2 linked regions of the Schizosaccharomyces pombe genome follow. Changing the gene in region 1 together with any one later gene gives a genetic interaction. Each region holds a gene or a part of one and is shown on either strand. Other genes may lie near its edges.

Region 1 (4,022 bases):
TGTTCTACGGATTATGTGCAATATATGAAACTAAAAATTTACAATATGTGTCCTCATGGCTAATTCATCATTCTCCCTCAAGAAATAAAAAATGCCGAGTCACTGGATTACAGTGCGCATCTATCATTCCAAACGATTCAAAATCCGACAACGTTGTTTTAGTATCTACTAATGACAATGCTATCCGGTTATACAACACGGTCACTCACGCTTTAGTGTTGAAACTGAGTGATGCTCATCGTGTTAATGGCAGAGTACTTTCTCGTTTAAGTGAAGACAACAGTTATATCATTAGTGGAAGTGATACTAATGAAGTAGTTTTATGGCATATTCCCAACAAGGTACTCATCAATGCATCAAGAAAACGCTCTGTCATTCTCCATTTGCCCACGGAAACATTCAAGGTTTGTAGTGAGAGACTGACTTCGACCATCATTGCACCAGCAAGGACTGCTGTCGAAGCTAAAGAGTCGGAACATGATCGCAGTTTAATTGCAGAAGGATACAATCTAGTAAAACCTCATAGTCACAGATCATATGGAACACCTCCTGTACATCCGATTGATATAATAATTGCTACCAACATGGCAGGTATGACTATTGTCTTGTGTGTTGATTATGATTTGGGGAATTCCCATCATGGATTTAGAAACTCAAAATTTGGACACTTTGTGAAGCGTTTATTACGAACCTAATCTCGATTCAAAACTAATATTACTTTACCTTTTTTTATTTTGTTTAAGTCTTCTAAGTCATTCAGGTGTCATTTAAAATAGAGGACTCATTTTTTCCCCCTTTTAAATAATAGTTATGAAGTTTTTTTATGAAATTGTTTTTAATAATAGTATAATATAATATTCATTTTTTCGTGGTTTGTTAAGACACAAAAACAATTTTACGTCCAGAAAATTACTCCAGAATGTGCTGTAACTAATTGAGAGAAGCGTGGATTAAAGCGAACAATAGAAGGTGTTTCTGGTAAAAGGTTTTTAGATGTTGAAGAAGGAATGATAGCTAGCGGGTTCTCTGTTGAATGACTATTGCTGGTCGGAGTAGTTGATGCTAGGCCCATTTCGGTGAATGAATTAACAATGTGATCCGAGTTAACAGTTTGTTTCAGTTCTGGTAGTTGATACATGCAAAGATGCTCATTATCATATGAAGTAAAAAGAAATTTACTATCTGGAGACATGCAAGCTGAAGCATAATAAGTCAAATTTCCATCTTGGGTTTTTGTGCTAACCTTTGAAGGAACTCTTAATAATTCACTTCCACTATAAGCGTCTATAACGTAATGAAAATCATTTCCAGTTGTTAGCAATAGATATTTACCATCAGTACTGAATTCCACATTTGCAATGCGGACATGAGGGGGCAGGAATGTTAAAGGAATGTCTTGAAATGGGCGAGCATCAAATGATTTAATGTTATAAAGAGAAATTTTGTATTTTCTTTCACTAACTGAGGCAAAGATTAGTCCTGTAGCATCAAAAGCTGCAACAACGGGTGAACTAACATTGAGCAAACCCTACGTATTCCTAGTTAGTTTGATTATCAGTAATTGTTATACTCATACCTGGCAATTTGGAGACCGAAGGTCCCAAAGGCGAATAGTATTATCTAAAGAAGCGCTTAAAAAAGTTTCATCTGCTGGTGATACATCGATTGAAGTCACTGTTTGCTTATGGCCAGGAAAATATCGAAGATACCGATTTGTCACAACGTCTAAATAACGAACGGTATTGTCTTCCTTTGTGGAAGCATGTATTAATGAATTTGAATGATGAGTAAACCGACCTAAATGTGCTCCGTACTTTTTGCTTGCAAGTGATTTCACAAATCTAGAAGTTCATGGTCAGTTAGCCAAACAGGTTTCAAAAGTGAATTTAAGAAGTACTTACTTTCCAGAAATGCAGTTATACAGTTGTAAAGTATCATCAGTACACGACGCCAAGCACAACTCTCCACTGTCGTCAAAACTGAGAGAGGTAATTTCACCAACAAAATTCTGATTTTTCAGCCATTTTCTTGGTTGCATAGACGACAACAAGTCAAAAGTAATTGAAACTGTTGTCATTACTAAATAACGGTATGCTAAAAGGTGGGTTTCCTGAGAAAAATATATGGGTAAATAAGTTTTAAGTATGTATTTAGTGCGTATCTCCTATTAATATTCAGAATGGCTGATTACTGGAAAAGTATTCCAAAATATTATTGTAAATATTGCCAAATAGTAAGTTTTTTCTATAACATCCAAAAATTATTTCTAAAGTGGTGAAATTAATAGAATCCTACTAACAGTACAGTTCGTGAAAGATACACCATTTGCGCGACGGAGCCATGAGCAAACTTATAAACATCAGGATGCTATTAAAAAAGTAATGGATGATATTCATCGTTCCAACCTTTTAAGGCAGGAACTTGAGAAGAATTTATCTATACCAAAATCAGCTACTGCTACCACTGCTTCAGCGGTGTCATCTGAACTAGCATCGTATGAGAAACCAAAAAAGGAGCATCCAAAATTACGTCCCTCTAAAAAAAAAGCTACTTTGGATGATTGGGATATTCCTACAAGTTCTACGGAGACTGACACCATCTCTACTACTCATACCAGCTATATTCCTACATTGCTAGCAAAGCAAGAAGAAAATGAAGAAACCAAGGAAACAACTACTAATAAAAATGAGTCTCTACCAGGGACCTCTTTGAAAAGAAACAGAGAGATCATCGAAAAAGAAGAAAGATCTTCATTTCATTTTCGGGTAAAACCAAAAAACTTAGATAAAGTACCTAAGTTAGCTGAAAACGAGGGAAACAAATCGCTAGAAAGCAAGGAATCAAATGAAAACAAAGTGGTGTTTAAAAAGAAAAAGTCTGGAAAGTTAAGAACAAAATCTTCCTTAAAAGAATATGATCAATCTTGAAGAAAAAAACCATCTTTGTTTAAAAAAAATTCTAGGATGAAAAAATTTTGTATCCAATTCCTGCATTCTGTTCAACATAACGAGAGTAGCTTTTGTGTTGGGTAATCAGCATTAAGTAAGTATTCATATCGGTTATGAATGCTAAGTTGAACATTTATTCAATAACTATATTTGAGGTTTATTGAAAACATTTTTCCTTTTTTTATTTTGTTTTATTTAACATTTCTTTTCAAAGTCATTTTGGGACACTTATCTTCAAACTCCTCCAACAGACTTGAGCGTTTATAAAAAAGAATGTAGGAAGAGGAGAAATCTTCTCTCAAGTCAGTAATACCGCCCACTGTTCGAACAATTGAGTCATCAATATGGCACCATTCATTATTAAAAAGTACATCAGATATATAATGTCCATTTTCGAGCTGGCCATAATGACAGATAAATGCAAACAGGTTATAATTGCTAGGAATATAACCAATTCCCGATTGGAAACTCGGTGGTACCAGCATTTTACTTGGAATCTGTAAGCTCAATCCAAGTGGTGTATCAATTTTTTTACGACCCATTACGGATATTTTAAATCTCTGAATTTGTATGATCAAATATTCAGGTAGTTTCGAAATCATAATTACTTTTTTTGCCGACCTTTGAACCTTGCACACGGGACAATGCCATCCATCATGCCCTTGCAAGAGTTCAGGAGCTGAAAATTTTAATAAGCATTCTTGTAGGCTTACTACATGGGAGACATCGTCAATCGGTATCGCAAGCGATGTGAAGGGAGCAAAAGTAGTAGATGTGCGGCCACATGTCATACATTGAGTACGACTGCAAAGTTGACCTACAAAATTGTTGACCACAATACTCTTGTTAGACCGGAGATGCAAGTTCCATTCAATGTGTGAAAAGTGGGACAATGGGAGTTCTTCTCTGGCACTTAATTGATCTTCCGTCAACGGTGCTATCGGAGACCGAGATGCATTGGAGTTCAAATCTTCATGAAGTTTATCAAGAAAGAAATTTAAAAATTCTTGAGCATCGCATTGGCCATCGATGGAGAAATCTCTATTCAATGACTGTACAATTTCTAAAAAATTC
Region 2 (5,208 bases), 610 kb from region 1:
AAAGATATCTCTTTAGATTCAGGCTTGACCAAAGTCAAAGTAGAAAGGTTGGAATGCGAGATTGTATACAAAGGAAGCACTCTATTAAATGTAACCAAAGAATCGTGACAGTCTCTAACGGATATAGAACAATCAAAATAAATAGAAGTTGGGAGGGTTTCGAGAGAAGTTGTTTCCTTACTATTCGTCTTTTTCTTAGAAGAAGATTGCGGTGTTTCGTATGAGCGGCGTTGTAATTCATCTTGAATTTTGTTCTGAAGCGTTTGTTCTTCCTCAAATAAGGCATCTTTCTCCCGTTTTAACCTAAGTTGTAAATCCACTTCCGCTCTCTCTCGATCATGCTTTAGTTGTACCGCACGTTCCTCTTCCAAGCTAGCAAATTGAGAAGAGAGGTCAGACTGCCAATCATTAAGATAGTCCTGCACTATACTGGCAAGTTCAAAAATCATTTCCTCTCCTAGCAAGTCTTTTGCCTTTGTATCTAACTTATCAAGCAAAAATCGAATCTGAGAGTTTAGGACATTTTCTCCATTTTGTAACTTGATCACTGGTTTCACATAAGGATAGCTTCTTCCAAGCTCAATACAAAGATCAAGTTTCGCAATACTTTTAGAGTTTGCACTTCTTGAACATAGATGTATACAATAAACATGGCCGTTTGTAACCTAAGATACCATTGTTAGTAAATGGGTAGTGAACAAACATTAATCATACATTCCAAGCATTCCTAACTTTCAACTCCTCAAAATCATCCATAAAAATGGCTTTGAGGGCCTCAATTTCATTTTCTTGAATTTCCTTGCATAGTTCCAGACGTTTCGCCGCATCCATGAACAGCTTTTACCAACTATTGTTGCCAATAATTTACTAGTTTAATAGGAAGCAAATATATTTATTCACAATTAAACTGTTGGTTGAAAATTCGTCCTGTGTAAACTGGAAGGAAAGAAAGCAAATCAGTTTATATCAGGACGGCAATATAGGACTTGAAAATATAATTATTATCAATTCTATTTCTTTTCTTTCCTCTGAATTGGATTTTTAGATAAATTGCTTGTTTGCCGCGAATTTGCTGGAGGAAGAAGTTTCTCGCTCGTGGTATACTAAAGATGGAAGAACGCAGTATACTGGTATTGTAATGAGTATAGATTGATTTGAGCCGAATAAATGCGATAATCGGCACGGATCATACATTCTTTAGTTAAGATGTAATTTTGAGTTGGATAAGATGAATCAGACTTCAGATCTTCAATCGATAACGAACAGTTGGATATAATGATTATCTGCATTTGTATGCAAAGCGCTTCATTGTTTGAAGTGAAGCGGTCAAAAAGTTTTAACTTTTAATCGCGTTTGGTTAACTTTTCTTCATTGTTTTACCATAATCATGGATTTTTGATTAAACTACAAAGACATACTTCATAACTGATAAAATAGATACACCAGTAAACTATAACAGCGTTTCATATAATGCAATATAATACAAATTTGTAGTTGCATTCGAAATGTTATACCTTTTTTCCTCCTCTCCTTTCTTCATCATGGTCAGGAGAAGTTTGGAAAATGCAAGCACGCTAGCCTGAAAGCTCGAAACCGCGCAAACTACAGTTTATTTTCTAATTTTACTCTTTGTTCAGACTAATAAGTTATTACACTTATAAAAACAACCTATGAAAATGGTGTGAGTTAAAAACTAGAATCCTGCTCGATTACTAGTAATATGGATGGTTTGTATACTGTTGAAAAAGTCAAGGTTAAATTATTGCAAGCTACAGAAGCTACGGCAGTCATTATATTGGAAAGTAAAGCCTCTGATATACTTTGCTAGCATTGTTCATCGTACGTAAAAACGTGGTAAGGGTAGTGCCTTCATCATCGTTGACGAAGTGAGAATTTTCGAATTACTATTAGATTTTTCTCCCTTGCACGAAATTAACCTACAAAATGGAGGCAGCTCAAGCTTTTGAAAATCTCGCAAACCTAGAGCAAGAGTTTGGAAAAGCAGAAATCGAAATATGTATGTTTAATCGATTTTGCATTTTTGTAGCATAAAATTACGTTTTTTATAAAAAATGTGTTAACAATTGCTAATGTATCTTGGTGCTAGTGAAGAAACAAAATGAGCTTTTTCAACCGCTTTTTGAGCAGCGTCGTGATATTTTGAAGACCATTAACAACTTTTGGGTAGTAGTTCTGGAAGCTGCTGGGGATGAAATCAGTATGTAAAATTGTATACTATTATTGTTTTTGTTTAAACATTGTTGAAATTCTAATTAAGTTATTTCAGGCCAGTACATAACACCTGAAGATAGTGTGTTACTTGAAAAACTCGAAAATATTTATGTTGAAAGGTTTAATGAAAAGGAACCAAGGGATGTCCGAATTTCGCTTACCTTTCAACCAAACGAATATCTTCAGGACGACAACCTTACCTTGGTAAAAGAAGTGAGAATTAAAGAGGAAAAAGCAAAGGATGATGAGGGTTTGGAAAAAAAGATAACCAAGTATACTTCGCAACCTGTTGATATACATTGGAAACCAGGAAAGAGTTTATTTAGAAAAAATAAAAAATTACCTCCTAATTTTTTTGACTATTTTCAATGGACCGGAGAGGAAGAGGACGATGATTTTGATGGAGCAACACTCACAATTTTTCTGGCAGAGGATCTTTTTCCAAATGCTGTAAAATATTTTACAGAAGCCATGACCGAAGAAGCGAGTGATGAGGATGAGTCAGTAGATTTGGAGGAAGATGAGGAAGAAGAAGACGAAGAAGACGAAGAAGGGGACGAAGAAAAGCAAGGTACGAAAACAGGTCTTAAAAAAATAAGGCGAAAGCATGAATAGATGATATGATAGATGTCAATGTATTGTAAAACTAACACAAAAATCGCAGAACCACCTTCCAAAAAGTCCAAGAAGTCTAATTAATTTAAGGAACGAGAACACAGACATGAAATTTTTTTTGTCTTCCCAAAGCTCGAGGTTACCTATGGAATGATTGGTTATTCGTTTATTGGGAAGATGGTTCAAAGAATTAAATAATACAATATAAAGATTTAGTTACAGCACAATAACCAATACCAACAATGCAATTAAGATGATAATGAGTACGGTAATACAACATCCAGATTTAGAGTCTGCGCTTGCAATCGTAAAATCTTTCAACCGCTTCATACCCCTGCGAAGCTTACTATTAGTGGTCTCAATGGAATTGTCAAGAGTATCTAACAAGTCAGCCTGTTGACCCAATTCTTCGCCCATCAAAGCTGCCTGCCCACGAATGTTTCCAATCGTGTCGTAAACCCCGTCCAGCATTACGTCTTGTTGCTGATAAAGCTGCTCTTGATATTGTCGATTGACAGCATGATCTTCTTCAGACAAACCAGCTGAGGCACCATTGTCAACAGTATAAGGTTCTGTAGAAACTGGTGTGCTTGGGGCAGCACCCATCTTTAACTGTATATTGTTTAACTCAATATCCAGTTCCGAGACAAATCTCCTTCTCGACTTTAGTTCTTCTTCATCTAACCCAAAATGCTCAGAATTTTTCATCGCTATTTCCACAGCAGCTTTTAAGTCCTTCAATGTTTCGCTTAACTCATCAATGGCGTAAGTAAGCTCAGTATTTGGTGAAAGGACTCCAGAGTTTCGTGCGGCCATAAAAGAATTGTAAAGCTTTCGCACTTGCTCCATTTGATTTGATGCATCCCTATATTTCGAATAAATGTCAGTTAAATAAAATCTTAAAGCAACAAAAGGAATCTATTAAGACATTTCTGGTTCATCATTGCACAACTTACGCTTTGACTTCATAAAAGGGGTCCTCCATGTTGATGATGTAGAGATATGAGCCAATTTTCTACTTGGAAATGCTTTTATAATTTAAAGAAAAATAAGATAATATAAAATAAACGAAGCAAATTCGTATTATCAGGTATGCTGTCTGCAAATACTAAAGTACTGTGCTGATTCAGTCAAGTAACGACTTTACGATAGATAACGCTACCTAACTGCTCACTCAAAGATCACCGTAAACATTGAGTCCTTACAAAACAAGTAATGGAGAATAAATAAGAAAGCAATATCTCAATCTTGTTGAAAAAACAGCAACCTCCCCTTGTCACTATTTTGTTTTGATTCAACCGTATTCCACCGTTGTATGTTAGATTAAATGTAAACATCTAGGTAAATAAAACGTTTTCAATGGCCAAAAGCAATCTTTCATTCTAGCCTTTGTGCTAAAAAATTAATTCTATTGCTAAAAACCTAAGACTAAATGTTTTAAGAGAAACTGAACACAAAGAAAGTCTTGTGAGCTAAAACAGTACGCTATATATCGCTAGCTTGATGTAAACAAAAGACGCGTAGACACTATTAACATGTTATCAAGAACCACAACATGTCTGAAATTATAACGTCTTTGCAAACAGAGCTGAGCAATCGCCATGCTAACATGGTATCTGAAGCAGTATTAGCATTCAGTGAGCATCATGATAGTGCATTGCATTCATATTTTTTGAATGCACGTGTCAAGTACGTCCATAAGTTTCTTCAGCTAATTGACCCAACAATTCAGAGACGTGATTTTAGAAAGCCTAAGAACGACAGAGGAGAAGCTTCGTGCTTTAGATAAATTACAGCTGGATGCTTCGAAAAACCTGTCAAACCTGTTGGTGGAATATAATAGTATAAACGCAGAATTGGAGTCCGTCAATAGTAAGATCTCTTCTATTTCTTCCCAAGAATATGCATTGGAAGAATTTCAGGCACTTTCCCAGAATTTTGAGAAGAATTTAGTTCAGCATCGTCGTAATTCCCAAAATAAGCTCAAATGTGCAATGGAGGTAAACATAAAAACAAATTATATTGTCATATTACTAACCTCAATAAATTTAAAGAAACTAAAGATGATTGAAACCTCAACTCATAAAGCTATTCTCGACAATTTTTAAATTTCAGAGATCTAATGTCATACTGCCTCAAACCAAGCTTGATAATAACGAAGAAAGTCAACTTTCATCAAACACGCTGACATCGTTATATTAAGGTCTAAATGAAACGGCGCTAAATTTGCTTCTGAGCTCTATGAAACATACATAAAGAAAAGATGTTTAAATGCGTAATTTCTGATAAAGTTATTCTTCTTGGATAGCTTTTTGATATTTACTACAATTGATATTCTAAATGACTTATTATCTTATTCTC

What was found. A genetic interaction does not mean that the proteins touch.
Region 2: mutations in swd2 (region 1) and ccp1 together harm fitness more than expected from each alone (negative genetic interaction), as found in Schizosaccharomyces pombe (2 studies listed by BioGRID).

Annotation. Positions count from the first base shown.
Region 1 is NC_003423.3:1,781,080-1,785,101, forward strand, and holds swd2 (Set1C complex subunit Swd2.1), read right to left. Parts: upstream 2,141-4,022; 5' UTR 2,078-2,140; coding exon 1,902-2,077; intron 1,842-1,901; coding exon 1,577-1,841; intron 1,529-1,576; coding exon 896-1,528; 3' UTR 866-895; downstream 1-865. Other genes in the region: SPOM_SPBC18H10.05 (WD repeat-containing protein), read left to right, coding at 1-695; wbp4 (WW domain-binding protein 4), read left to right, coding at 2,180-2,233, 2,307-2,927; ubiquitin hydrolase Ubp4, read right to left, coding at 3,140-4,022. UniProt on the Schizosaccharomyces pombe protein: The Set1 complex specifically methylates 'Lys-4' of histone H3.
Region 2 is NC_003423.3:2,392,298-2,397,505, reverse strand, and holds ccp1 (CENP-A histone disassembly chaperone Ccp1), read left to right. Parts: upstream 1-1,924; 5' UTR 1,925-1,944; coding exon 1,945-2,017; exon of another isoform or gene 2,018-2,107; coding exon 2,108-2,218; exon of another isoform or gene 2,219-2,287; coding exon 2,288-2,803; exon of another isoform or gene 2,804-2,896; coding exon 2,897-2,931; 3' UTR 2,932-3,063; coding exon of another isoform or gene 3,064-3,712; 3' UTR 3,713-3,803; coding exon of another isoform or gene 3,804-3,832; 3' UTR 3,833-3,937; exon of another isoform or gene 3,938-3,948; intron 3,949-3,999; 3' UTR 4,000-4,034; downstream 4,035-5,208. Other genes in the region: eIF2 alpha kinase Gcn2, read right to left, coding at 1-665, 715-831; tlg1 (SNARE protein Tgl1), read right to left, coding at 3,064-3,712, 3,804-3,832; protein mug20, read left to right, coding at 4,403-4,536, 4,580-4,847, 4,902-4,955.